7 linked regions of the Ovis aries genome follow. The protein of the gene in region 2 purifies or fractionates together with the protein of the main gene of each other region. This does not show direct contact. Links are inferred from orthologs where the notes say so. Each region holds a gene or a part of one and is shown on either strand. Other genes may lie near its edges. The genes, in order: SNRPD3, SNRPA, CDC5L, SF3B1, PRPF19, RNPS1 and SF3A1.

What was found.
Region 1: the proteins of SNRPA (region 2) and SNRPD3 purify together in Homo sapiens (affinity purification with mass spectrometry; 3 studies listed by BioGRID and IntAct, with this or other methods). This does not show direct contact. The link is inferred for Ovis aries from reciprocal best matches to the Homo sapiens genes SNRPA and SNRPD3.
Region 3: the proteins of SNRPA (region 2) and CDC5L purify together in Homo sapiens (affinity purification with mass spectrometry; 4 studies listed by BioGRID and IntAct, with this or other methods). This does not show direct contact. The link is inferred for Ovis aries from reciprocal best matches to the Homo sapiens genes SNRPA and CDC5L.
Region 4: the proteins of SNRPA (region 2) and SF3B1 fractionate together in Homo sapiens (co-fractionation; 4 studies listed by BioGRID and IntAct, with this or other methods). This does not show direct contact. The link is inferred for Ovis aries from reciprocal best matches to the Homo sapiens genes SNRPA and SF3B1.
Region 5: the proteins of SNRPA (region 2) and PRPF19 fractionate together in Homo sapiens (co-fractionation; 3 studies listed by BioGRID and IntAct, with this or other methods). This does not show direct contact. The link is inferred for Ovis aries from reciprocal best matches to the Homo sapiens genes SNRPA and PRPF19.
Region 6: the proteins of SNRPA (region 2) and RNPS1 purify together in Homo sapiens (co-immunoprecipitation; 4 studies listed by BioGRID and IntAct, with this or other methods). This does not show direct contact. The link is inferred for Ovis aries from reciprocal best matches to the Homo sapiens genes SNRPA and RNPS1.
Region 7: the proteins of SNRPA (region 2) and SF3A1 fractionate together in Homo sapiens (co-fractionation; 3 studies listed by BioGRID and IntAct, with this or other methods). This does not show direct contact. The link is inferred for Ovis aries from reciprocal best matches to the Homo sapiens genes SNRPA and SF3A1.

Annotation. Positions count from the first base shown.
Region 1 is NC_056070.1:71,547,568-71,551,580, reverse strand, and holds the start of SNRPD3 (small nuclear ribonucleoprotein Sm D3), read left to right. Parts: upstream 1-1,213; 5' UTR 1,214-1,329; intron 1,330-3,190; 5' UTR 3,191-3,208; coding exon 3,209-3,334; intron 3,335-4,013. Other genes in the region: protein GUCD1, read right to left, coding at 869-1,073. UniProt on the Homo sapiens protein: Plays a role in pre-mRNA splicing as a core component of the spliceosomal U1, U2, U4 and U5 small nuclear ribonucleoproteins (snRNPs), the building blocks of the spliceosome.
Region 2 is NC_056067.1:49,429,715-49,433,736, forward strand, and holds the start of SNRPA (U1 small nuclear ribonucleoprotein A), read left to right. Parts: upstream 1-1,222; coding exon 1,223-1,295; intron 1,296-4,022. UniProt on the Homo sapiens protein: Component of the spliceosomal U1 snRNP, which is essential for recognition of the pre-mRNA 5' splice-site and the subsequent assembly of the spliceosome. U1 snRNP is the first snRNP to interact with pre-mRNA.
Region 3 is NC_056073.1:17,858,154-17,861,653, reverse strand, and holds part of CDC5L (cell division cycle 5-like protein), read right to left. Parts: intron 2,616-3,500; coding exon 2,397-2,615; intron 1,020-2,396; coding exon 875-1,019; intron 1-874.
Region 4 is NC_056055.1:199,734,116-199,738,216, reverse strand, and holds the start of SF3B1 (splicing factor 3B subunit 1), read left to right. Parts: upstream 1-1,301; 5' UTR 1,302-1,330; coding exon 1,331-1,358; intron 1,359-4,101. UniProt on the Homo sapiens protein: Component of the 17S U2 SnRNP complex of the spliceosome, a large ribonucleoprotein complex that removes introns from transcribed pre-mRNAs.
Region 5 is NC_056074.1:34,598,710-34,602,209, forward strand, and holds the end of PRPF19 (pre-mRNA-processing factor 19), read right to left. Parts: coding exon 3,453-3,500; intron 3,231-3,452; coding exon 3,161-3,230; intron 2,938-3,160; coding exon 2,852-2,937; intron 2,548-2,851; coding exon 2,377-2,547; intron 2,250-2,376; coding exon 2,144-2,249; intron 748-2,143; coding exon 650-747; 3' UTR 261-649; downstream 1-260. UniProt on the Homo sapiens protein: Ubiquitin-protein ligase which is a core component of several complexes mainly involved pre-mRNA splicing and DNA repair. Required for pre-mRNA splicing as component of the spliceosome.
Region 6 is NC_056077.1:2,301,123-2,304,437, forward strand, and holds part of RNPS1 (RNA-binding protein with serine-rich domain 1), read right to left. Parts: coding exon 3,267-3,315; intron 3,026-3,266; coding exon 2,870-3,025; intron 2,263-2,869; coding exon 2,071-2,262; intron 1,884-2,070; coding exon 1,781-1,883; intron 1,496-1,780; coding exon 1,342-1,495; intron 1-1,341. UniProt on the Homo sapiens protein: Part of pre- and post-splicing multiprotein mRNP complexes. Auxiliary component of the splicing-dependent multiprotein exon junction complex (EJC) deposited at splice junction on mRNAs.
Region 7 is NC_056070.1:69,363,654-69,367,746, forward strand, and holds the start of SF3A1 (splicing factor 3A subunit 1), read right to left. Parts: upstream 2,801-4,093; 5' UTR 2,708-2,800; coding exon 2,645-2,707; intron 1-2,644. UniProt on the Homo sapiens protein: Component of the 17S U2 SnRNP complex of the spliceosome, a large ribonucleoprotein complex that removes introns from transcribed pre-mRNAs.

The sequences.
Region 1 (4,013 bases), on a different chromosome or scaffold from region 2:
GCAAGCGAGAGATGCCCAGGGGTGTCCCTGCTCAGGGAGTTATCAGGAAAAACAAACAAACCCCAACTGACCGTAGCCGGCCCGGCGGGACCCGCCGGAGCGCACACCTGCCCAGGTTTTGCTCAGAGCTCAACAGCCGGGGCCGCGGCGGCGGTCGGCCCAAGGTCGCGCGGCCGGACCCTGCCCGGCGCTCGGGCGGGGTTCCCCCCCAAACTCGATTCCCAGGCTGAGGGCTGCCCCCCAACCCTGATCCCGGATCCCCGATCCCCAGGGCCCTGCCCCGCGCCCACCGCGATCCCCGGGGTCAGGGCCGCCCCCCGATCCCCGGGGCCCTGCCCCGCGCCCACCGCGATCCCCGGGGTCAGGGCCGCCCCCCGATCCCCAGGGCCCTGCCCCGCGCCCACCGCGATCCCCGGGGTCAGGGCCGCCCCCCGATCCCCGGGGCCCTGCCCGGCGCCCACCGCGATCCCCGGGGTCAGGGCCGCCCCCCGATCCCCGGGGCCCTGCCCCGCGCCCACCGCGATCCCCGGGGTGACGGGGGGACCACACTGACCGGGCTCGAGCGGCGGCCCCGCTGCCTGCGCGTCCACCTCCGTCCTCATGACCCGGGCGGCGCGGGGCTCCCATGGCCCCGGCCCGGCGCGGGCTGCAGCTCTGGCGTCGACTGGGGACGGGAGCGCGCGGCCGGCGCGCGCCGGCTCCCCGGGCGGCCAGCACCAGCGCCCCGGGGGGAGCGGGGGCGGGAGGCGGCGGCGGCCCCAGGCCCCGCCCCGGCCCGCCCCGGCCCGCCCCGGCTCCCACGCCGGCGGCCCCCCGGCCCGCTGCTCCGGGTCCCCGCTCTCCCTGTCCGCACGCCGGGGGCACTCGCCTCGCTCGGGGCACCCCTTCCCCGGCGCCGTCGGCTTCCCAGGCTTCCCCTGCGGGGGCAGGTCCCGGCCCCGGGCCCCCGCCGCCGCCGCCGCCCGCCTCGCTGTCCAGCCCGCGTCTGGCGTCGGGCGCTGGGGACCGCGAGTCCCCCTCGGCCCGGGCCGGCCCGAGGGTCGCTGTTTCCGGCGGCACCTGGGTCCGGTCATCAGCCCCGCTCTTCCCCGGGCCCGGAACTATTGTACCCGAGCTCGGGTTCCCCAGCCGGCGCGGTAAGGATGAACGCGAAGGCGAGAGACGTCGCCCGCCGCCACTCGGGTAAAGGAAGGGGGCGGGCCCTGCGCGAGGCATTTTGGGAACGCGTGGTATTCTGGGAGCGCGCGGCCCGCCATTCGCGCCCTCACGCCTTCGCAGTCGCCGGAGTTCCGTCTGCCCTGCCGCCTCTGAAAGAGGAGCCCGGAGCCGGTGAGGACGGGGCCGGGGGTGCGGGGAGGGCGAGGGCTAGGCCGAGGTCCCGCGGGGGGCCGGGGGGCTGGAGGAGGACGCGCCGCCGAGGAGCCCTGCGGTGCTCGTGGAGGGAGAGCCGCGGGGAGCTGGGCCACCCCGACCCCCAGCGGCGCCTCCCAAGCGCCTGGAGGTGCGTTCGTTAGCTTTTTCCCCGAAGTACTTGCTCTTCGGTTTCCGAACCTCTCCAGGCCGGTGTTTCTCGAAGTATCCAGGCAGTGGTCTTGAGATCGTTCCTGGCTGGTGGCCACCTTCCCCCCAGATCCCTACTTGGCTGATTTCTTTTCAAAGCCCTTGGCATCTCTGCCTCCCTCCCCCTTCCAGGACCTGATCCCCTAACGCTGGAAACACAGGTTATCACATTTCCTTGCTTCTGTCTAAATCGTGTTGCAGCGTCTTGTAACTCCGGCTGCCCTTCCGTGGGGTAGTCTCTGTGCTGCCCCGGTTCCCCCAGCTGCGGTTCAGCGTTGTCCTCAGCAATGGAACCTGTTTTTTCCTAACCTCTCCCGGTCCTTTTCCTCTCTTTCGACCTCCTGCTGCGTGTCAACCGAAAAAATACCGCCACCTAAAAGCTGAGAATTAGGTTTATTCGGTGGGAATCATGAGGACTCCGAGCCCGGAAGACAGGATTTCAGGCGACCCCTGGGAGAGAGAAATGTTGGGTGGGGTGGAGTCAGGCTACAAAGAAGTTTGCAGCAAGGGGCAGGTAATCTGAATATTAAAAGATGACTGTTGAGTAATGGAGACCAGATCTCCGGCCTGAAGAGATTTAATACTTTTCTGTTCTTTGGGAAGATGCAAGAGTCCGGGCTTCCTGAAATCTTTTCTTTCACATGCATCTCAGCTATCTGGGGCCAATTCCTGCTTTTCGGCTGTTCACAGCCTAATTCCTCCTTTACCCTAAAGTTAAGGTACGAGGGACCGCCTCTTGTGCTTCTGACATCCCCCAGCTCCTCAGCACTTACAGGAAGTAACGGACAGCTGCCAAAAAGCCAGTATGGTTTTTACCTGGGCTTAAAAATTTGCATTTGGAAGGCTGGAATACCAGATGGCTGCGACGTGCCTTGATTACTGGAGAGCAGAAAGCATTTCATTTTACAGAAGTTTTCGTTTTATACACCCGTCTTGGGATTGAAAAAATCCACTTGCTTTTTTTCTCTCTTAATTAGATCAAGTCGGGGTTCTCCCTGGTTATATTTTCCCTCCAGGGTGAGCGTTTCCCACTTGTAGCACGCCGCCACCTTGTGAACACTTGGATATTTTCTCTTTAGCTTAATGGTGAAGTAAGTAGACGGTCAGAGTGCTTAATGGGTTGAATTAAACGCACAGCCCCGTCTGAGCTTCCCAGATGGCGCTAGTGGTTAAAAAGACCTCTTGCCAGTGCAGGAGATGTAAGAGACGTGGGCTCCATCCCTGGGTGGGGAAGATCCCCTGGAAAAGGGCGTGGCAGCCCACTCCAGTATTGTTGCCTGGAGAATCCCACGGACAGAGGAACCTGGTGGGCTACAGTCCATGGGGTCGCAGAGAGTCAGAAAAGCGACTTAACATGCGCACTCAAGAGCCCTGTGGTGGAAGGAAGATGGGAGGCAGCTCTTTCCCGTCAGCTTTCCCCCTGTTGAGGCCCTGTTCCTCCCCACTCACACCCTGCACGTGTTTGCCAGATGGGTCCTTCAAGCTCAGAATTCAGCTAAAAAAAAAACTAGTGCACCTCTGGCAACTTTGCTGAGTTTTCCAGAGTGTCAGCCTTGAGGGGTTGTGGTGTTTGCACATGCGTTCTTGGGCGTCGGAAGATGAGCTAACTGCTGTCTCTCTCTCACCGCAGAACTCTCTTCCTGCCGGGATGTCTATCGGAGTGCCGATCAAAGTCCTCCACGAGGCCGAGGGCCACATCGTGACGTGTGAGACGAACACTGGCGAGGTGTATCGGGGCAAGCTCATCGAGGCGGAGGACAACATGAACTGCCAGGTGCCCTGCTCTGTGCGGGGCCGGGGCGGGCCGGAGCCTCGGAGGGCAGGGCGCGGGCGGCTGGGGCTCCTTGAGGTTCTTGCTCAGCGGTGGTTCACCGAGTGCCTAAGCTGTGCCAGGCCCTATTAGAGGTGCCAGAGAGGCGGGCATCAGTGAGAGCCTCTTGGAGGTTGAGAATATGAAACCTAGAATCTGACTGTTTAGATTGCTCGTCCTTCGCTGCTCCCAGTCCCGTGGTTGTCTTCTCACGGACTTTGGGCCCATTTAAGAGAAGCAGCACAGCCTTCCGGAGGAGGCAGTGGCACCCCACTCCAGCGCTCTTGCCTGGAAAATCCTGTGGACGGGGAGCCTGGCGGGCTGCGGTCTGTGGGGTCGCACAGAGTCGGACACGACTGAAGCGACTCAGCAGCAGCAGCGCAGCCTTCAGCGGAGCCGTCAGGCTCAGCGCCCCCGCCCCGCACAGCGCGTTTGCACAGTGCTTTGCAGCTAGCAGAGTCTTCGCTCGCATACTCTGGGTATTTGCCATTTTCCTAGCAGAAGCACCTCGTGTGACTGCACTCGGAGCAAATACTTGGCCAAGCAAGCAGGTTTGGGTGATAGTTTTATCCATGAAATGGGAAGAATGAGATTACGGGACTCACCTGCTGAATATCGCTCTGCCAAGACGTGTTGGACCCAC
Region 2 (4,022 bases):
GGGGCAAGGCACGTAAAGCGTGGGATTGAGGACCCCTGGGCTAAAAACTGGAAGAATTTAGAAGAGATCCTACCCCCTTCGCACCTCAGACCGGAGTTTGGAACCTTAGAGCTGACCTTTGAGTCAGAGGTCAAAAGGACACTTGGCAGGGAAATTAGCCTAGTTGTGGAGAAAGTCCTGAAATCGGGGCGCAACGGGAAGTCTTGTGGGCTGGAGAAGGCTCACAGGTTGGAGGTCGTTGGGAGCCCCCATACGGCTGGGGTAACAGGGCCGGGCACTAAAACGCGCCTACCCTTGCCGCAAAATGGCTGCCGCAGCGTACAGCCTTTCCCAAATCCCGCGGTAAGACTCGCAACTCAAGCCCGCCCCTTTAACGATCACGTGACAGAGACTGGCTGCGAAAGAAAGGCCTTGGAAGAGACTGCCGCAAGAACCGAGTCCCGATTGGCAAGAGGCGCGTGAGGGGGCGCGGCCTTCACTGATTGGTCCTTAGTCGCGTGCGCCGCAAAAGGGTTTGCAGGGGCTGGGCGGAGTTTTTCTGCTGAGGCGCGAACCCAATTGCCGTTTTTATTGGCAAAATCTGGGTCCGGGAGCTAGCCTTACTCTGATTGGCCAAGCTACCAAGTTTCTGCGCAGGGGTTGGCTTGTAGATAGACAAGGCGGGTCTAGAGGAGGAAGTTTTGTGGCCGGCGCTCAGCAGCGTAGCAGGCATCGCTTGCGGGAGCTGAGCCTGTTTCGGTGAGTATTCTTGGGCACAAACGGCCGTAGGCGCCTGGCGGCGGAGCGCTTGACGCCCGGGCTTTCCTGCGCCTCGTGTAGTGGGAACTATTTTTTTTCTGCTCGAGGCCAGGGTTCGGCAACGCCGTCCCGCTGGCCTTAACTGGCGCTTACAGCCGGGCCATTTCTCCTGGGCGGGTCTCTGAGCGCGTGGGCCAGTGGGAATCGCCACCTAGGCCGCTCCGCCTACTAAGTCGAGTAGAGCATCCTGGGACTCGTAGTAAACCTCACGAGATTTCCCTCACCACGCGGGGAGGAGAAGCTGTGTGCTGCGTTTGCTTTGTTTTCCGAGCCGTGCTTCCCTCTTTCCTCCTCTGTACCTTACTTGACTTTCTCTTGGAAGGAAGATCCTTTAGTAGCCCGCGTTGGGACAAAAGGATTTTCAGAAACCCAGGACTGAGTGGGACTTTTTCATTCTTTCAGCCCTACCTCAGCAACTTACTCCATGGCAGTTCCCGAGACCCGCCCCAACCACACTATTTATATCAACAATCTCAATGAGAAGATCAAGAAGGATGGTGAGTTTTCGGGATAGTCCGGACACCAGGCTATCCCGCACGAACCTGCTCCCTCTTCTGTCCCCAGCATCCATGTCTCTTCCTCAGCCTTCTCCAGCCAAACCTTTTAAGTTCGGCCTTTGCACAAGCAGTGCTTTTGATATTTCCTCATTTTCTCCTACACTTTTCCCGGTAATCTGGTAACTTGCTTGTCTTTCAAGGTTTCAGCTTCAAGACGCCCCTCCTCCAGGATGCCTCCCCCTTCCCTTTTCCACCCACGTGCTTGCCTCTGACTTCCTAAAACCCTGAACCTCCCCAGCCAAGTCCTGATCTGGCTGTCAGGGGACTGTCTCTCTCCTGGCCTTTGAGCTCCAGGAGGGTAAGAACTGCAACTGTTGGTCACTGTCATGGCCTCAAGTGAATAATCCACAGTGAAAACGTTTCATTTCAAAATAAAGTGAAATGAACCGTGATGGCGGGTAACACTGGGTACCAGGTGCTGATCTATAAATAATGGTTGCATTTAACTTTCACAGCAATCCTGCAGGAAGGACCTGTTGTTCCCATTTCTTAGATTAGAAACTGAGACTCCACAGGGATGTGATTCTCCCAAGGCATACAGCAGGGAAACGTGCTTGAGACCACTATATGGAATTCTGGTTAAGAACTCGATTCTAGATATGACATACTTTTCTTTTTTCTTGAGCAAGTTATCACTTTTTATTGAACTTCATGTTTTTATATATATAGGAAAGCTGGGCAAAATCTGTGCACAGATGTTATAGGGAATATATGAGCTAAACTTCCATGCCTTTTTTTTTATGGTGCCTAGCTGTTAGTAAGGGTTGGATATAAGTGTTAGCTCTTATTATCTCCTCAAGAAAACTGGTAGGAGAACTGAAGGAGCTTGCTGGCATTAAGTTGAGGTTACTGATAAAGTTGCTATTGAAGATAATAAACAAGCCATGTAAATCCCTCATATACTGTTAGAGCATTGTGCCCAGCCAGTTCTCTGTGGAGCTGTGGACACAGTGGTGACTGAGACAGTCCTGGTCCTGACTTCATGGAACCACAGTCTAGTAGAGATGACAGATCTGCTCCCAGACAGTGATAGCCCAGAGTAGCCATGGCCATAATTGGGGGAAGTTGAGGCATAGTAGTCAAGGCTGGGATTGGGCACTTGGAAAAGGGTATTCAGGTTCACAGAACAGGAGACATTTTGGGAAAGCCTACCAGGGAGAGGAAGCAGCATCTGTGTTACAATGAGGGAGAAGAGTGACTAACCTGGACCAGCATGTGCAAATATCCAGGGGCAAAAGAGAGTCTAGGGCATTCTGGGAACCACATGTACTGCAGTTTTGGGTGCCTGAGACTTAGAGGCTGGTGATTTCATGGAGAACATTCAGGCAAGCAGTGCACTCTGGCTCCTGATGCCTTGAGGTCTGGGTGGGTGTTTTACTTCATCCTGAGGGCTTTGGGGAGCCAGGCAAGGGATGCAGTTAATTGTGAAAGATCTTTCCAGCTGTGGAGGGTGAACTTGTGTGGGCAAGAAAGGAGACTGGGCAGAGGCTCAGCACCCAGGGGAATGACTCGGGCCCGCACTGGGTTCACGGGGATGGCAAGTGGAGACAAATCTCAGAATTGTCATCAGAATTTCTGGCCGTTTGCTTCCCTCTTTACCCGACCCCCCTTTTCTTTCCTGCTGTCTCTTCGGCCAGGTGTCTTAAGCTCAGGTACCTTCTTTGCATAAGACGGGTACCCTTTCCTGGCTGTCCATTTGCTAGGGAGGTTTGGTGGTCCTGGGTTCAGATGGACTTGGGTCCTCGGTCAGTGACAGATCCTCTGAGAGCCTCTATCCACATTAGTAAAATTGGGGCAGTTATAATTGCTCACTCATGGAGTAGAGGTAAAAATTCAGTGAAGTTATTCCCAGAAATCATTTAATGATGTGTTTATTCAGGCAGATGTATTTGGAGATTTGTGTGCTGGCAACTATACTGTTCATTAGGGGTTTTTTTTTTTTTTTGGCTCACACCAAGGGACTTATGGAGAAGGCAATGACACTCCACTCCAGTACTCTTGCCTGGAAAATCCCATGGACGGAGGAGCCTGGTAGGCTGCAGCCCATGGGGTCGCTAAGAGTCAGGACACGACTGAGCGACTTCACTTTCACTTTTCACTTTCCTGCATTGGAGAAGGAAATGGCAACCTGCTCCAGTTCTTGCCTGGAGAATCCCAGGGACGGGGGAGCCTGGGGGCCTGCCGTCTCTAGGGTCACACAGAGTCCGACACGACTGAAGTGACTTAGCAAGGGGCTTATGGGATTTTAGTTCCCTGACCAGGGATTGAACCTGGACCCTTGTCAATAAGAGCACAGAGTTCTAACCACTGGACCACTAGGGAGTTCCCTGTGGGGATATTGTGATAAACAAATAGGATAGACTTGTACCTCTTCAGAAAGAGGACCAAACAAAAAGGAAACAAACATGATGTCAGGAGGTGGGAAGTGCCATGAAAGAAAAGCAAGTAGGTTCTCACGGTGAGAGGAGTGACATGAGGGGTCTCTCACCATGGTGGTCAGGGAAGGCCTCAGGTGGTAACATCTCTGCTGAGTCCTGGGTGACTGGAAGGAGGCAGCCATGTACACATCAGGAGAAAGTTGCTCCTAGTAGAGGGAGCAGTCAGTGGAAAGGTCCTGAGGCAAGGTTGCTGTGACGAGCCTGAGAAAGGGCTGGGAGGCCAGTGTTG
Region 3 (3,500 bases), on a different chromosome or scaffold from region 2:
CAATATCAAACTGTATTCTTCTATTTCCATACTGAAATTCTCTCAAAACAATATATTAATAAATCAAGATTATAAATTATTTGTACAAAACCATTTATCAATTGGGGGGGGCGCATACTAAAAATGAATTAAAATATCACAGAGTCCATTGAGCCACAAAAATCCCTAAGAAAATCAAAAGGTGTTATTTTTGTAATTTTACCAACAAATGTCCTAAGAACTGGAAAAAAAAGAAAAGGTTACAGGCAAAATTCCAATTTAAGAAATATCACCACTACAAATGATAGCATCTGACAAAACTATTTTATGTTTATACCCACGAATTTTATATTAATGCAGCCAGGGCATTCATTTGGCTAAAGAAGCTGTTCAAACCTCCTAAATCCATCCCTCTGCTCCATTAAACTGTCCAATTCTACAGAGCTGTACTCATCAAAATGCAAGAGAAGCTTATTCAAAATCCTCATGTTTCTAACCAACCACAATTCAGCCATAGGAAGAGAGCCTACAATGAGCTGAATGAATTGTTTCTTCTCCACAACTCCCACATTGATTCTCACAGTTACTGTCTCAAAAACAGAAGAATGACACAACCAAACATTCCCTAAAAGGCAGTCACCTGAAGTCCACAAGGCCAAATACCACCATTACCAGCTACAAAAAAATGAGGCCTGGAGCCCCAGTCTACTGACAAATTGCTAAGAGCTGACAATTAATTACTAAACCATCATATGAGAAGTTCAAGGCCTAATATTTCTTAGGAGTACCAAGCACCTAAAAGAAAACCTGGCACATACACCCGCAAACATTTGCTGAAAAAAGGTATAAATGCATGTGAGTTCACACAGTGAAAAAACTACTTTCATCAGATTACCTGAGGGGCAGGAAGTACTAGCTTGCTCCTCTTTTTAGTAAATTCAGAAACACCACTAGTTTGAAGAATAGCTGATGGTAAATCAGATTCTTTTTTCCTTTTCAAATGCTGTTTGTCTTTTTTTCTATCTCGTCCTTCTTTTTCACTGTCATGGATCAAGGTGGAGAACAAATTTTTCAAAGTTACTCATAGGCAATAATGTTAAAAGCCATACAAATAGTCATATACTCTGAACAAAATAATCCGCTCTTAAGAAAAGTACTAATAAAAAGACAAAACTATATACATTAAGCTGTTTCCTATTCCTATACATTACTTACTACTATGTTCAATAGGAATATAGAATAGCAATAGAATTATTAAGAAAATAAGATACACTAAGTAATTTAAGTACTAAATAGTAAAACTATGTAACTATAAAGACTACGATAAGCAAAATGTTACATATAACATGAAAACCATAAAACTACTCCTATATCATGACTCCTATATCATGACTACCTTCATACAAAAATATGTGTTTGTACTAGGAAAATGATAAAGTATACAAAAAGGGAAACAAACGAAGGGAACAGAATTAAAACACTGGTTTTAAATTTTCCTTTAAAACTAATCTTCAATTGTTTGACATCATTTTTTTTTTAAAGGACAGTTAAGTTCTCACAAATGACATCAGAGAGGTGTTAGGGTCTAGTGCCAGGCTCAAGGTCATTTTCTAAAGGACCAGGAATGCTTCCTTCCCCTCTGCATGTCACCCTTCTCCTCTTATCTAGTCTACTCCACCCAAATGACTTTTTTTTCTTCAATCTTTTTATCTGTAGAGGCTACCTAAAACAAGGGTCTAATCTGAAAAACAAATGCAATGGAGTACATTCAAGAAAATGCTGATCCACACTGGCTGACATCTGTTGTTTACTAACAATTCATGTCAACAGAAATATAGAAGGCCACTGGGGGAGTGGAAAACTAAAAATCTCTGATAAGCATAAAAGGTTTTTTCCACAACATTCAGATATAAGATTTAAAGAAACTCTAAAAATCCCTATAAATAAGCAAAATCCTTTGCATCCTAAGACATCTGATAAAAATACACACTGATCCTCATTAGATGAAAAGATTTAAGAATGAACTGGTAATCATCATTTCTTCCTTTTAATTTCATTTTAAGAAAAACAAGATAAAATTTTCACTAAGGAAAAAAAAAGGCAGACCAGATTTCTGACATATTCCTTCAGGCCATTAGTGAAATAACTAACCTGTTTCCAAATTCACTAACAGCCAAATGCTGACATTTCAAGAAATGCAAACAGTATTCTGTACTAAAAACATTACAGCCAGGGTCACTGGTTTTCTCAGAAAGGTGAATCCATTAAATAAGTAAAAGCATTATGTAAGCCACATTGTGCTGACTAAGAAAAATCTGGCTCTGACAAGGATAATATCTGGCCGTCCATAAAATTCCTACTATACTTTTCCATTTATAAAACCAGAAAGGAGAAAAAAATCCAGAAAGGTAACTTACGATCTCAGCTCCCCATCAAGATCCTGCTGTCTTAACTTTCTGAAATCAGCATCAAGAGTCTGGTAGTTTTCCTCAGAAGTATCATAGAAACCAAGAGCAGGCTTTTTTTCAAATGGAATTTCAGCATTATAATCAACTCCTCTTTTCTTTTTTCTTTTCTTCTGAATTTCTATGCCGGCTGCTCGAAGTTCTCTTCTCTTTTGGAGGGCAGCAAGACGCCTGAAGCAAAAGAACAAAACATCACCTTGAAAATCATACACCACAGGGAAGGGATGTCTCATCCAACAGAGCTAAGAAAGCTGTCCAGTCATTTGGGAAAGAAATATTTACTTAAATCCTCACCTCACACCATGCACCAAAATCAACTCCAGTTCTGATGTAAAGGTACACATATATACTAGAGCAAAGAGAAAAACCAGAAGGAACTACAAATAAATATGTATCTAATCTCTGGATGGGAATATACTCACTTAATATCAATGAAATGGGCAAAAAAAAAAAAAATCAACAGCTTTCAATTTTAAATTTTATATCTCTGTAGCACCATTTTTTAAATCATAAAACAGTATCAAAAAGTAAATAGTATAAAAAAAATTGCAATTAGTATTAGGAATGGTTAGATATAAAGAATCCAGGCAAGTTTTTTTTAATGCATCTCAAGGGAAAAAAGCAGAAGGAAAGACAGTTCACTACAGAAAAAATGCAAACAGCTAAAATAACAAATGCTCCAACTACCGCACAACTGCACTCATCTCACACACTAGTAAAGCAATGCTCAGAATTCTCCAAGCCAGGCTTCAGCAATACGTGAACCGTGAACTTCCAGATGCTCAAGCTGGTTTTAGAAAAGGCAGAGGAACCAGAGATCAAATTGCCAACATCCGCTGGATCATCAAAATAGCAAGAGTTCCAGAAGAACATCTATTTCTGCTTTATTGACTATGCCAAAGCCTCTGACTGTGTGGATCACAATAAACTGTGGAAAATTCTGAAAGAGATGGGAATACCAGACCACCTGACCTGCCTCTTGAGAAACCTGTATGCAGGTCAGGAAGCAACAGTTAGAACTGGACATGGAACAACAGACTGGTTCCAAACAGGAAA
Region 4 (4,101 bases), on a different chromosome or scaffold from region 2:
ATTTTTTATATATAAAAGAATATATGTAATCTATGTGTAGGTTATAAGCCATTTAAGGAATACCTATGGACCCTCTGCCAATCCAAGAACTAGAATTTATCAACAATTGAATTAATAATCTACATGTTCTTCTCTTATCTCATCCCCTTCCTCCTCCAGCTATTGTTTAACCTAAATTAAACTGAAAACTTTAACCCATCAAATTGATTTTTTCATTGATGCTATTAAAATGTCACTTTGGGGGACCTCCCCAGTGGTCCAGTGGCTAAAATTCTGTGCCCCCAATGCAAGGGGCCCAGGTTCAATCCCCAGCCAAAAAAAAAAAAAACACCTTACTTTTTTATTACGTAAATTTCTACTAAGTATTTGTATTCTGAGTCTGTCACACCTGCCCTACTAGGCTGCTTCCAGTACCAATTTCCCTATTAAATTCTTATGTTCTTCTGAGTCCAAAGCCAGTGTGACAGGTTATGGTTGTATAGCTGATGTTTAGGAGAAAAAAATACTGATTTAGGAATGACATTTAGGATTATCAGAAGCATTTCATTAGTGTTAGTGCTGACAATCGGGACTTTTCTAAGAACTCAGAAGAGCGTCAGAGTTCCTGCTGTGTAACTTAATAACCGTGTGACCTTGTGCAGTCTCATATATAACCCTGTCCTATCTTTTTTCCGTCATTTCTTAAATGAGATTAGCAACAATTTATCCACTTTGTGGGAGTTATGGGATTACCAACAAGTTACTCTCTTTATGTGAATTTCAATAGCGATTGGGAATGTATATTGTAGACAAAACTCCTAATCAAATGGTAAGTAATTAGTTAAAAAGAGAACGACCTTAAATTACAGAGTGAGGGATGAGACTGTTGTAACTGTTAACATAACTAAGCACTACAACAGCTGAGACATGCTGAGGAAAGTTTTTGGCCTCAAAACGCCGTCTGGTGAATTTGGAGAAAGGGGACTGAAGGTCTGAGGCTTCTTCCAGTCCTGAAACCTTAGTGTTTCTTTCAGCGACTGTTTTTAACTGCCCTGGTGGAATCCACTTTCCTCCACGGCGGAGTTACTAGCTACAGGGCGCTAAGGCCCACGTAGTCCTTGTCGGGTTTACCACGGAAACCGTCTCCGGGAGCAACCCTGACTCCTCCCTCCACCCACAATGCACCTCTCTGTTCTATCTAGGTGGCTGCTCTGTCACGTGTCACCGACCGAGCGCGCTCCCGCTTGGCGCTTGCGCGGAGAGCGGCTCCCAGCTATTTTTCTCCGTGGCAGCGGCGACGAGCGGAAGTTCTTGGGAGCGCCAGTTCCGTCTGTGTGTTCGAGTGGACAAAATGGCGAAGATCGCCAAGACTCACGAAGGTAAGCGGTTTTCCCCTTGTTACGTAGATTCTCCGCTGCCAGCCTGCTAAGACTTTGTCTTCCTAGGTTTCTGCCTCTTCCTGTGGTTTCTTTTCTGGGGGTCTGAACTCGCGCTTCGGGCCCCGGGTTGTCTGCTCGGCGCCAGAGGCGCAGGCCACTGCCCCGCGTAATGGCGTCCTACTCGTACACCCCCGACAGGCGCTTTGTTCCGTGTTTGGGTACTGTTACTTCAACATTGCTTTTCTTCTCTGATTGGGGCCTCGTTTAAACAGCTCTCTAAGGATAATCCCTGGGTAAAGGAGCGGGGAAAAGGGCATGGGAACAAAGTCTCTCTCACCTCTCGGAACTGTCGTTGGCATAGTTTGTGCAGGGGAGGGTCAGAAAAGCACTGGATTATAGCAGCCGCTTTCCGGGCTGCGCTCAATCGAGTTTAGTCAAACTGAGGCTCGTTGCTCTTTAAGCTTGGTTAACTTGTATGTCTTCAGGCCTCTAAGATACATACCTTGGTGTTTTTTTTTTTTTTGGCTGTTGTTTGGAATGATTTGGAAATACAATCTGGTAGTTTTCTCTGTCCTTGATTACTTTTAGTATAATAGGGGCCTTTTTTCTTTTGAGACTGATTTTTGATGGAACAGGGAAAGGCACGTTAATAATGGCCACAGCTCTTGAACAAGTTGGTCGTTTTGTGAAATACAGAGTATGCGAAATTAGGAAAATATTAGAAATAGGCTGTAGCAGTCCCCCTTCAGGGAGTATTCAGAAATGACAGGAAGTAGGGGCACTTTTGCGGAGAAGGCAGTGGCACCCCACTCCAGTACTCTTGCCTGGAAAATCCCGTGGACGGAGGAGCCTGGTAGGCTGCAGTCCATGGGGTCGCTAAGAGTCGGACACGAATGAGCGACTTCCCTTTCACTTTTCACTCTTGCATTGGAGAAGGAAATGGCAACCCACTCCAGTGTTCTTGCCTGGAGAATCCCAGGGACGGCGGAGCCTGGTGGGCTGCCGTCTGTGGGGTCGCACAGAGTCGGACACGATTGAAGCGGCTTAGCAGCAGCAGGGTCACTTTTGAGAAAAGACGAGGTGTATGGGAAGTTGGAACTGCATTCCTTGATTTCTGACTTGAAATCTGAAATTTCAATCAAACACTGCTTCGAAGAGTTAGTTTTATTTCACGTCGTTTTTTTACTTTTATGTCACGTCGTTTTTGGGTTAGTGGCTTGGTGTTAGTTTGTGGGAGGTAATAAAGACTAAAGTCATCAAATTTTATAGTCTGGTGGGGAAACAGGTATCTATTTTCATTCTTTACGAGGCAATTGAATGCTTAAACAAATATAAGCAGTGTATTTTGGGAAGCTGGGTAACGGAGTCATTAATTTATGCTTAGGGCTATTTCATAGAGGAGATGACGTATCCCTGGTCTAAAAGGATCAATCGGTTTTAAATTAGGGGAGGACATTTGAACCTGAGATGACGTCTTGTTCCTAGTTAGTGACTCGTGAAAGATGTGTTTGGCTAGTTGGGGCAGGAAAAGAGAGTTCAAGGAGGAAAAAAGGAGATGCATCTGAAAAATGTTGGTTGGGGCTGTTAATGATTGTGTCACCCCTGGGAATTGAGTCCAGTTTTCTGCAACTTAGGAAACAGACTAATGAAGTGGCAGTGACTTTTATATTTTTACTGTTCTTGTTAGGTATTTGGGATTGAAACACTGTTTTAATACCAAAGTGTTTTGGGGGCACTTCTGTCTTTAGACTACTACTTTTGTAAAATAATTAGAAAACATAAAGATGTTGGCTATTCTTGTTTATCTTGTAGGTTATTCATTTGGGGCATTTTGTGGCCTTGATTACTTTATCAGTATCTTTATGATAAGATAACTTTTGGATAGGAAAATCAAAGTTATGATTAGTTTTCCTGTGTTTTAGAAGCACAGTTGAAAGTTTTAGTCTATAGAAGATTGCAATTCATTTACCGGAATTGGTTTTATATGGGATTATACTCATGAATTAGCTGAGGCCTAAAGTATTGGAGCGTTCAGTTTCAGGTGTGAACACTGTCTGTATACAAGACACTGTCCAATCACTTACTGCAGTGTAAGACAGTATGATGAATGTTACAGTTTCTTGTTCTTTCCTCATGACATTTTCCTGGAGAGTACTAGTTCTTCAGAGTCCATCTCTGTTTTTACTTCTTAAGCCATCTCCGATAAACTGGATCAGAATAACTTTTCTTGGATTTTTGTTTGTGTATTTGACTTGCGTGTGCTTCTGTTACAACACTCCTAATCTTTATTACTTATAATATTTTACAGTGTTAAGGTTTTTTCTTCCACTTACAGTTGTATACAGAAACTGTCCTTTGGTATCCTCCGTTCCTGATGTATGAATGCTGAATATTTTAATCAACACTTACCGAGAGATTATACTGAAAGTATTAAGACTATCACAGAAAGGGGGCACTTAAACACTGACCTTTGAACAGTTTGGTAGGTTTGAATACTTCTGTTTGGCTAAGATAATTGGGAAGGACTTGAATTTTGGGACCTTCCTGAGTTTATATTTTGGAAACCTCCTGAGACATATTAACATCAAATTAGGATATTTGGCTAGGCTTGACTTTGGCCTTCCAGTATCTCCAGGATAAAGCACCCTCTTCATTCTCTGAGGTAACATTACTTCTGTGACTTAAAGTCATTGATTGTGGTAAAGGATGATCTAGAGGGAGTAAGGGTAACCTTTTAGGATGC
Region 5 (3,500 bases), on a different chromosome or scaffold from region 2:
CAGCACTCTCCCCTTCCCCCACTTCCAGGCTCACATGGGAGCCACCCAAGGCAGGTGACATAAAACCCCATAAATCACAAAGTCAAGGCCTGCAGGAATGTGGAAGAATCATTCTGGCAAATGGCTTGTAGATTATTTTTAAATTTGTTGTCCAATTAAAGAAACAACAGAATGATGGGCATCCTGGTGGTTGAAGCCCTAACTGGTGCTCCCTCCCCTTGATTCTCCCCACTACAAACAGACACAGGAAGGCGGCTACGTTTGTTTTCTTTTTTTAATGAAACTAGAGCGCTGCTTACAAAAACCTTCCTGAGCCCTCGGCCCAGTCCCTTCACAGTTCCCTTGGCTCAGCCTCTCTCCAACTCACAGGAACTGGAACACGGTGGGTGTGGAACAGCCATCAGCTCCATCAACTCCTTGAAGAGAGGCCCTGGGGCCGACGCTGAGCCCTCAAGAGGGTGACGGATGAGGGTGGTCCATGCCACTGCGGCTCTCAGGCCACCACCGGGACCAGAGTGAAATGATGCGAATGTCCCACCCCATACACCCCCCACCCCCCAGTAGTCTCTTCTCCCCTGCCCCCCACCCCCACCCCTAATGCTATCCCTCTACTGAGACGAGGCCCCACTCCGGTCTGGTGAGCTGCCGCCTACAGGCTGTAGAATTTGAGGCTCCGGTCCATTCCCGTGGAAGCAATGAACTTGGCGTGGTGTCCGAAGGCCACCCCCGTGGTCAGGCCACTGTGCTCTGTGGAGAGACAAGACAACGGTGAGGAGGCTTTTCTTCCTTGGGGTCTCAGCGTCGACCCCTATGACATGCTCCCCACCCGTCCCTGTGACCTGGAAACCTCCCGCGGCCTGGAAACCCCCAAGGCCAGAGCTCTACATGGCACTGAGCTCCAGAGCCTCCCTGGGGCTGGCCCACAGCAGGCACTGTGTGTGGCTGGGCTGAGTGAACACAGGAACACCGGTCCTCCGCCACCTAAGCTTTCGAGGGCAGCTACAAATTGGCTTTGCTCGGCTCAGTCCAAGTCTGAGAACTGACAGGAAGCTGGACTTGTTGGTCTTTAGTTCTGAGCCCCTGTGTGTAACTGGAACAGTCTTATCAGCCTGTCCTAGCTCACACAGAAGGCTGGGTCAGGGGCAAAAGACGCCAGGCAACCCTCTCCGCTGGGCTCAGGTAGTTCATGGACATCAGGGCAAATTCCCACAATCACAGCTGGCCCACCAGCTCCCCACTCTAACGCTGCCCTGTGCTTCCAGCCCGCCACTCCACTGACTGCTCTAAATCAAGGCACCGGGGCCCAGGGAAGGTGAAAACCCATGGGCCACACCATCAGGTCTGGCCATCTCTGGGACACACAGTGAGTAGAATCTGGGGTGGGAGAAGGTGCTTGTGCCCCGCCCACCACCCGCTAATGAGAACAAGAACTTCGTTAACAAAGATGGCAGCAGCTGCCATTCCTTCAGTTCCTGAAGGTGCAAGAGGCATCCTGTCCCCATGCAGGCCACCTCCAGGGCACCAGCCGGCACAATATGCGAAGCAGTGTCAATACGCCCATTTAAAGATGAAGTAACTACAGCTCCAAAAGGGAAAGTCATGCACCAGAGGCCACACTACTATTAGGAGGTGCCAACTTTGTTGGGGTGGTATTTGTATATAATGTACACACATTCTCCTATATACTTTAAATCATCTCTAAATAACTTGTAATTCCTAACAGCACAAATTCTATGCCAATAATTTTAAATATAGTGTAAATGCTACATGAATAGTTGCCAGTGTGCGGGCAATTTGAGTTTTGCTTTTTGGAACTTTCTGGATTTTTTCCGCCCACAAATATTTTTGATCCACAGTGGGTAGAGTCTGTGGAGAATCAACTGTACTATTATTTTCCAGAGAAGTTAAGTAGCTTGCCCAGTGTCACAAAGCTTCGAGTGGCAGAGCTAGCATTTAAAGTCAGGCAGTCTGACTCCTGAGTTCCTTGTTTTAGCCACTAAACTCTATTGCCTCAGAGAGTGACTAAAAGCGGCCTTGGCAAATGCACGCCTGCCACTAGAAACCCCTAACCCAGTGAAATTTTCCCCACTTTCTTCTGGGCCAGAGCACCCAGAGACCTCAGGGTCTTAGGGCAAGCCTCTACCTGTAAAGTGAAGAATCTCCGTCCACTGTTTACAGATGTAGATCTGGACGTCGGTGCCGCCAAGGGCCAGGTAAGTACCGCTCTGGTCAAAGATCAGTGACTTCACCTGCCAAAATCAGGAAAGAAGTCACATGAAAGGAAGCAGAAACTGTGGGCAATTCGGGGAAAACAGAGGCAGTTTAGAGTAATTCACTGACAAACGAGGAGGAGGGGTGACAGAGAAAGACGTGTACCTCAAAGTTGTTATCCAGCTGCAACGTCTTAAAGTTCTTAAGTTTGCGCAGATCCCAGAGTTTAACAGAGGAGTCATCGGCCGCTGTAGCCAGGTAGTAGCCGTTCTCCGAGAAGGCAATGCTGGTGATGGGGCCCGAGTGGCCGGGGAAGTTGGCCACATTGGTGCGCTCCTGTGGTTGGGGAGCAGGGAGTAAAATGTCACCCACTGGTCATGAGGGAGAAAATGGAGCTCAGACAACTCCACTCCTGAGACGTCCTCCACCCTCAGGGAGGACAACCAGCAGGAAGAGCAAGGGTGGACGCCCAGCCTGGGGACCCCAGTACTGTGCCACACACACAGTACTGTCACACACACAGCCCCTGTCTCCCCACTCTTGGGACACCCCCGGGGCCAGGTGCCATAAGCACTTCATCACACCACACGGGGACAAGAGCTCCAACCCTGGGCTGCAGACGGGGACAGCCATGTCCTACCTTCAAGTCCCAGATCTTGATCTGAGAGTCCATGGTTCCTGTTCCAAAAATGAGTCCATCAGGGTGGAACTGCGCACAGGTGAGAGCTGTTGGGGGGGAGACAGACAGACGGTCAGAGCCCACCCTCAAGATACTAAGCACAGCAAAGGTAGGCTCCTCGCTGTTCCTCACGCTCCCTGGGCCAGCACTATGCCCGGCACCCAGCAAGCACTGGCAGCATGTATTTTTTAGAACAAATGAGCAACAACTAAATAAAACATTAAACAATATACAGCGACTGAAGAGGCCAACACTTAGGAGACAACTTACAGCAACCAGAGGTCTCATCGGTCACCTTGGTGAGCACACGTCCTGTCTGGATATCAGAGAAGGCCCAGTACTGAAAAAAAAAGAGACAACAGAGCTGGTAAGACAGTGGGTCCCCAGGTTCTGATGGCCCCTCAGGAAGGCAGGGACCCTGGTTGGGCAGACCTTGGCAAGGCCATCCCCTCTCTGTAGAGAGGAAATACTCTCTCCTGGTTCTGGGGACCCAGCTGGGTAAGATGTTTCCTCCTCCCAGGATACCTGAGTTTGGGGACCAAGAGCCTGGCTGGGACGATACCTGGTCATCAGAGGAGCTCAGGAGATAGTCACCAGTGGCGTGGAGGCT
Region 6 (3,315 bases), on a different chromosome or scaffold from region 2:
AAAAAGGAGAAAGGTCATCCTCTACCTGCTGCTGCTAAATCGCTTCAGTCATGTCTGACTCTGTGCGACCCCACAGACGGCAGCCCACCAGGCTCCCCCACCCCTGGGATTCCCCAGGCAAGAACACTAGAGTGGGTTGCCATTTCCTTCTCCAATGCATGAAAGTGAAAAGTGAAAGTGAAGTTGCTCAGTCGTGACCCCATGGATTGCAGCCCACCAGCCTCCTCTGTCCATGGGATTTTCCAGGCAAGAGTACTGGAGTAGGATGCCATTGTCTTCTCTCATCCTCTAGCTACCTGCCAGTAAAAACCAAGCCCTTCCATTTCTTTCTGGAGACTGATCGGTTCCATTCCGCACAATACAAAGAGACAGAGAAAAAGTCCTACCAGAATCTTAAGACAAGGTGGAATATTTATCATCACACACATCCTGAATGTGTCTAAGCCTCCTAAATTTTTAGCAAGTGCTCAGACTCCATCAAACACAAGACTGACAATCTCTAAAACAAAGGCGTGACTCAATAAGAGTTGATGCCTGCACAGTGACAGATCCCAGTTTATGCTGAACTCCTAAAAATACTCCAGGGGGATTTAAGGAGATTGAGAGAAGTACCAAGGAAAATTTTGTACTATACAAACTCTACCAGGGTTCAAGGGCAATTATCTTTCAAACATGTAAAAGGGCCTCCAAGGATGCCAAGGTTCTCAGGGGTTCAGACTCTTCCCCCCACTCGGCCTGGCAGCCCACGTGGGGCTCGGGCACTCCTGGCTCAGCTCAGCTGCCTGGAGGACAGAAGCAGCAAGGGTCCAGCGAAACCTATACTCCTTAAAATGCTGCCTATTCGAGATGCAAAACAACTGGCAAATGTTCAGTCCTTCAAAGGGTGTCAAAGCCAATACAAAGTGGCTGTAAACGTCATCAACAGTTAGGATGCATTTTAGGAAGAGGTAAAATCTGTGGATTTAGAAAGTTATCTTAAAAATGCTAAGTTTTAGCAAAACAGAAAGTAACTCAGGATTAAAGAAAACATTCCCATATAAAAATGTTTCATTATAGTCAAATACTTTGTGAAGAAAAAAAAAATCGTTCATTTGATCCTTAAGTTTTAACAGATTGAAATATTCTTAAAATGCTAATATATTCATATTTGATGAATACTTTTTCAAGAATAATGCTCTGTAAAACATGGTTTTGGTAAAGACACACCCACTGAGTAAGAACTGGAATCTTGACAGAGCTCCAAGGAAATTCTCACATGCAGCCAGACTGGAAATCGGTTCTCATCACACCAGGTATGGTGGGCAGCTGGTCTGGGACAGGTCAGAGCAAGGCTGGACTTACCTCCGTCCATGTGCTTCAGCGCCTTCTCAGCCTCGTCTGGATTCTCAAACTCCACATAGGCGTAGCCTTTAGACAAATGGGGGTGCATCCTTTCTACAGGCATGTCAATCATTTTAATTTTCCCATAGGTAGAGAATATCTCCATGATGTGATCCTAGGGAGGAAGAAGGGTCACTTAGGCTCACCCTCCCTTCACTTGTGTAGAAGTCAGAGAACTCGCCACACAATGACCACACCCTCAGCACCCTAAGCACACACACAAAATATATTCTGTTAAAAGGAAGTAACCAGTGCTCTACTTGGTCACATGCCACCAACTCAGCCCCCAGAAATGCTGCATTCTACGTTTACCTTCTGGCAGAGGCGGGCTTCTCATTTTCCATTTTAAACATCTGCAAGAATCACCCCAATGTCCACTGGACAGAAGCAGATTCCTCACCTTGGTCACATTCCTGGTGAGCCGCCCAATGTGTACTTTGGTGGGTTTAGGGGAAGGGCTCCGCCTTTTCCTTTCCTTTTCATCTCTTTTGGGTGGTTTGGACCTAATTGAAAAATACAAAATCCTATTAAGACAGTGAAACTCCTTTTTTGGTCTACTTTGGTAATAACTAATGGTAATCTTATAGCCCCAGTCTGTAAACTTAGATCCCAGATAACTCATGAGTCTTGGAGGTAATCCCCTGAACTGACCAGTCCCCCGTGGAGAAGAGGGGCTGGAAGGGGGCTCACTTGGAGCGGGAACGCCGCCTGTTGTCGTGTCTGCGCCGAGAAGGGCTCGGGGAGCCGGAGGAGCTGCTGGAGCTGGAGCTGCGCGACGTGCTGGAACTTCCCGAGCGGCTCGAAGCCGAAGACGAGCTGGAGCCGCTGCTGGAGCCCGTGCTGGTGCTGGAGCCTGAGCTGGAGGTAGAGCTGGACCGGGACCTGAGGGCCGAGAGGGAGGGGTCACCGGTAGAAGCAGTGCTGCCTCACTGCAGACAAGTCAAGGGGAACCACTGGGCTCGTATTCTCAAGCCTCAAGGCTTTCCCCAGCACCCACGGACACCCTCCAGCCCCATCCTAACAAAGCCCTTGCAGGGACAGAAACAGCATATGTACCATGCAGTGACAGGACTGCTTCCTACCTACACAGAAGCCTTGCCTACTGGGAGGAAAAGGAGCAGTCTGGGAAATCAGAGCCCCCGGCTCAGCTTGGAAGGCAGCTACTGACTGACACAGGCTGGTTTTCAACAAAAGGAAAAGGAAAGAGCCAGGCTAGGATGATCCAACCACAACTCCAAATCAAAAGCACGCGAGAAAAAAGCATAACTCAAGATGTTGCATTCCTAATGCCTCCAAAAAAGAAAACAACCAAACATACCAACACCGTCCTCTGTATGATCAGAGCAAAGCCCAAACCAGTCTGCCATAAATTAGTAATCTGAGTGCTTTATCAATAAAAAGAAAGAACACTCTGCAGGCTCTTTGGGAAAGAAGAGGGCCATGGCCTTGGAAGTAAGGCCCTGGCAAGGCCCTGACCTGCCAGCCCCACCTGGTGCTGCTGCTCCCGCTGGAAGCACTGCGCCTCTTCCGAGTCTTATCCCTGCCACGATCCTTCTCGCTCGACTCCTTGGTGGCCCCTTTATCTTTAGAGCGGTCCTTGGACTTCTCATCAGAGCGGTCTTTGCGTTTGGTGGGAGAAGGCGCCCTGGACAGTGAGGGAGAGTGTGAGATGACATGCCCCTTGGGCTGAACCCTGAAACCACAGCACAACCCAAAAGGGGATGCAAAGGGCTACAGAAACCCCAGGCCACCACAGAGCAAAAGGGTCTGTGGCTTAGGACACTTTCACTGTAAAATTCAAGATATTTCCAATGTCCCCCTTTCTGCGGGTCCCTAACAACGAGCACCCCGAAAGTAGCACTAGAAAAATCTGACAGAAGGATTACCTAGTGCTGGACTTTTTATTATTTTCTTTGACTCCTAGCAAGCTCTTCT
Region 7 (4,093 bases), on a different chromosome or scaffold from region 2:
CTTTTCAGACTCACACTGTCCTCAGTAGGCACTGACAGCGCATCCTCCACTTCCCCAGCACCTCTAGGCCACACCATCCTGCCCACACCAATGCCCCCCGTCACTCTCATGTGGCCACAGAGCTGTAAGAGCCCACGGTCCCGGGGCACTTTCATCTCTAACCACCCTCCTCATGGACGGCCAACCGTGCCTCCAGTCATCCAGGGCAGAAACGTGGGTCTCTTCTCCTTTCCTCAACCTCCACATTCAGTGATAAGGAACACTTCTCAAGCACAGAGTAGGTTCTACATCCTTCTCTGAGCACCTGAAGCAGATTACATCTATAAGCCTTACAGGCCCGCGACGCTAAGCATTCTCACTACTGTCATTCTACAGATGACAAGCTAAGAAACGGAGACCCCTCCCTGAGGAAGCCCACGTGGCAGAACCAGGATCCCAGCGCATCAGTTCAGAGGGAGAGCTTGCACATCAGCCCTTCCGTGCCGTCAGCGTGCCGGCGCCCTCTGCCCCAGGCCCCAGCCACAGTGTAGGCCAGGCCCTCAACGTTTTTCAAATAACATGACCAATCTTTCCTCCGAGCAATTCTCCACATCACTGTCTACCTCCATTTCTGCAACACAAACACGTCAGTCTCCAGCTTACATCCGCTCTTCTCCCAAAAGCCTGCTAGGAAGAGTTCAAATCGCCAGTAATACAGCTCTTAAGTACCACTTTCCCAACTCCATGCTTTAACCTTCTTTACCCTTGACCAGAAGCACTGTCTGACTCAGACCTCGGTACCTCTGCACTTAGGTGGCTTTACCTGGCTTATTTTTCCACGAATACCGGGAAAATGCCAGGGTTACAGAGGTACTTGCAGTGGTCAACAGATAGGATATGCTCAATAAATAAATTTGCTGAATGAATAAAGAATGGTATTTGCCTGCCCCATCACCTACCTGGTGAACTGACTCATCCTTCTAAACACAACTTAGCTTACATCCCATGGGCCTCGCCTACCTTAAACTCTCCTCTAGCCCATAAAAGCGACGTGGATTAGAATTGCTGCCTCCACTGTTTAAAATAGCCAAGATGTGGAAGGGCTTCCCTGGGAGCTCAGCTGGTAAGGAATCCGCCTGCAATGCAGGAGACCCCAGTTTGACTCCTGGGTCAAGAAGATCCCCTGGAGAAAGGATAGGCTACCCACTCCAGTATTCCTGGGCTTCCCTGGTGGCTCAGACAGTAAAGAATCCACCTGCAATGCAAAAGACCTGGGTTCGGCCCCTGGAGGAGGGCATGGCAACCCACTTCAGTATTGCGTGGAGAATCCCCATGGACAAAGAAGCCTGGCGGACTACAGTGCATGGGGTTGCAAAGAGTCAGACACAACTGAGCAACTAAGCACAGCACACAGCACAGGACATGGAAGCAAGCCAAATATCCATCGACAGATGAATGGATAAAGATGTGGTACGTATATGTGATGGAATATTATTCAGCCACTAAAAAGAATGAAATGATGCCATTTGCAGCAACATGGACGGACTCAGAGAGTGTCATGCTGAGTGAAATAAGTCAGACAAAGAAGGGGAAATACCGTATGGCCTCTCTTATATGTGGAATCCAAAATGAAATGACACAAATGGACTTACAAAACAACAGGAGACTAACAGACTTCGAAAACAAATGTATGGTTACCGGGGGGGAGGAATAGTTGGGGAGTTTGGGAAGGTCATGTACACGTTGCTATATTCCAAATGGATAACCAACAAGGACTTACTGTCTGTCACAAGGAACCCTACTCAAAGTTATGTGGTAGCCTGCATGGGTGTGGGATGTGGGGGAGGACAACTGCGTGGATATGCATGGCTGAGTCCTTTGCTTTTCAGCTGAAACTACCACAACACTGATAATCAGCTATATTCCGATACAAAATAAAAAGTTTAACGTTTAAAAAAGAAAGAATTCCTGCCTCATTCCTAATACCCTGCAATTATCACCCAATTATTGACCCCGTCCCTCTTCCTTAGCTGAATCTTTTTAAGGGCTGTCTGAAACAGTATCATTTGTGGTGACTGAGACGATATTTACTAGTATTCTCTCATATCTGTCTCCCCACTAGTCCCTGAGCTCCCTAAATAAAGCACGAATTGTGCTTCACTCATTTGGCTAATATCGTAGCCTGGCACGGTGCCGGGCTTACGGTAAGCAGAAAACAAACGCTGAGAGTTAACATTCAAAGATGTACCCTGCAGGCTGGGTAATTAGGGACTCCAGAGCAAAGGCTGGGGGGCCGGTGAGCCCAATTAACCACACGAGACCGGAGGATGCGCTAGAACAGGGCTTCTCAAACGTTAATGAATCACCGTGGGATCTTATTAAAAACGCAAATTCTGATTTTAGAAGATCTGGGGTGGGAAATCAGCATTTCTAATCAACTCCCATTTGCTGCTGGTCCGCGGACCTCAGTTTGAGATCCACGGCACTAATAAGGCTTCTTCCGCTACCCGAAGGCAGGCGGGAAGCGCGCTGCCTCCTGGGACTTGGAGTCCCCCCAAATCCTCCTAAACGGCAGCTCCTTCCTGCACGAGTTAGGAGCGCCCGCGCGGGAGGCGAGGGCCCAGGCCTGCTCAAGCGGCCGGTGGAGGTGCAGAACTCGCCGTACCTGTTTGGGCTCGGTGGCCGCGGGCGGCGGCGGGGGCACCGCCTGCACGGGTCCGGCCGGCATGACTGCGACGCTCAGGGCTGCCAGTCCGCCTCGGTGTAGGTGAGCGGTGCGGCGTCAAAGCGCCTTACCGCACCAACAGTACGACAAGCTCTCAAGATGGCGGCGGCCGACCGAGTTGTCGCCGAGGGGGCGAGGCTGACGCACGTCCGGGCCCGCCCCTTCTCCGTGACATCACTTCCTGCCCTTCCCACGAGCGAGACGCCGTTGCCATGGCAGCGGCAGGGCAGCAGGGCTAGGTTTTGCACCGGATCCCCGGAGCTGCAGGAGCGCCTGGGGGCAGTTCCAAGAACCCGCCAGACACAGGGGCTGAGGCTGCGACGCCGGAGACTGGTGAGACTTTTTACATCTTCCGCCCCGACGCCCGGATCCCCCTCTCCTTTACTCTGCCAGGCCATTTCCCCTCTCCCTCCGACCCCCGCCTTCTAAATCCCGGGTTCTCTCCCACTGGGCTCCCACTTTGGCCAGATCTCCGCCTGCCTGTTCTTCCAAGCCCTTCTATACTTCAGGTCCACATCCTCCAGACCCCTTCCCAAGTCTCGATCCCTAATTCCCACTGGTCCCGTTTCCCGCGGCCCTGTCTTTTCCAGTTCCACCCCCGCCTGCCGTAGTCCCGCCCTCCAACCGGGTGGACCCACTCAGATCTAGGTTTCTTCTTTAGGCTCCACCCCTCACGTCCGCAGGTTGGTCCCGGCGGGCCTCTTCCCCGCCCCCTGGCACACCACGATCCCCCTCTTTTCGCTTCTCCTCCTGGGGGCTTCTCTTCCCTTTCCCCTCTCCCCTCCCTCCTAACTCCAGAATGTGTCTGGCTCTGAAGCCTTGCCTGGACTTCAGTTTCTTCACCGATGAAATGGGGGTGTGGCGGGGGGAGTGATAGGAAAAGATGCCCTCCCAAGTCTCCTCCCGTGTCTCTTTCTCACACCATAGCTGATTGATGTTAGTGTTACTATTAACGTTGAATTATAGCGATAGTTAGGATTTGTTGAACATGTACCATGAGCCAGACTCTGTGCCAAACACTACATGCATTCCATCATTTGTTTCCCAGAGCAACTCATTTACAGATCTTCAGTTTACATGGTGGAGTGGGAATCCAAACCCAGGCCTTTCTTACTGTTCTACTGGTGCGCTTACTTGGTTACTTGCTTTGTCTTCACTGGATTCCTTCAGTATCCCCCCGGGGTATCCAGGCAGTTAGCAATCCTGAGTCAGAGACTGACGCTGCTATATAGATGGGTTTAGAGTTTCCAAAGCATTTCCATGGGTGCACTGGTCAGGATATGTGAAATCGCTCAGTCGTGTCTGACTCTTTGCAACCCCACGGACTGTAGCATACCAGGCTCCTCCGTCCATGGGATTTTCCAGGCAAGAGTACTGGAGTGGGTTGCC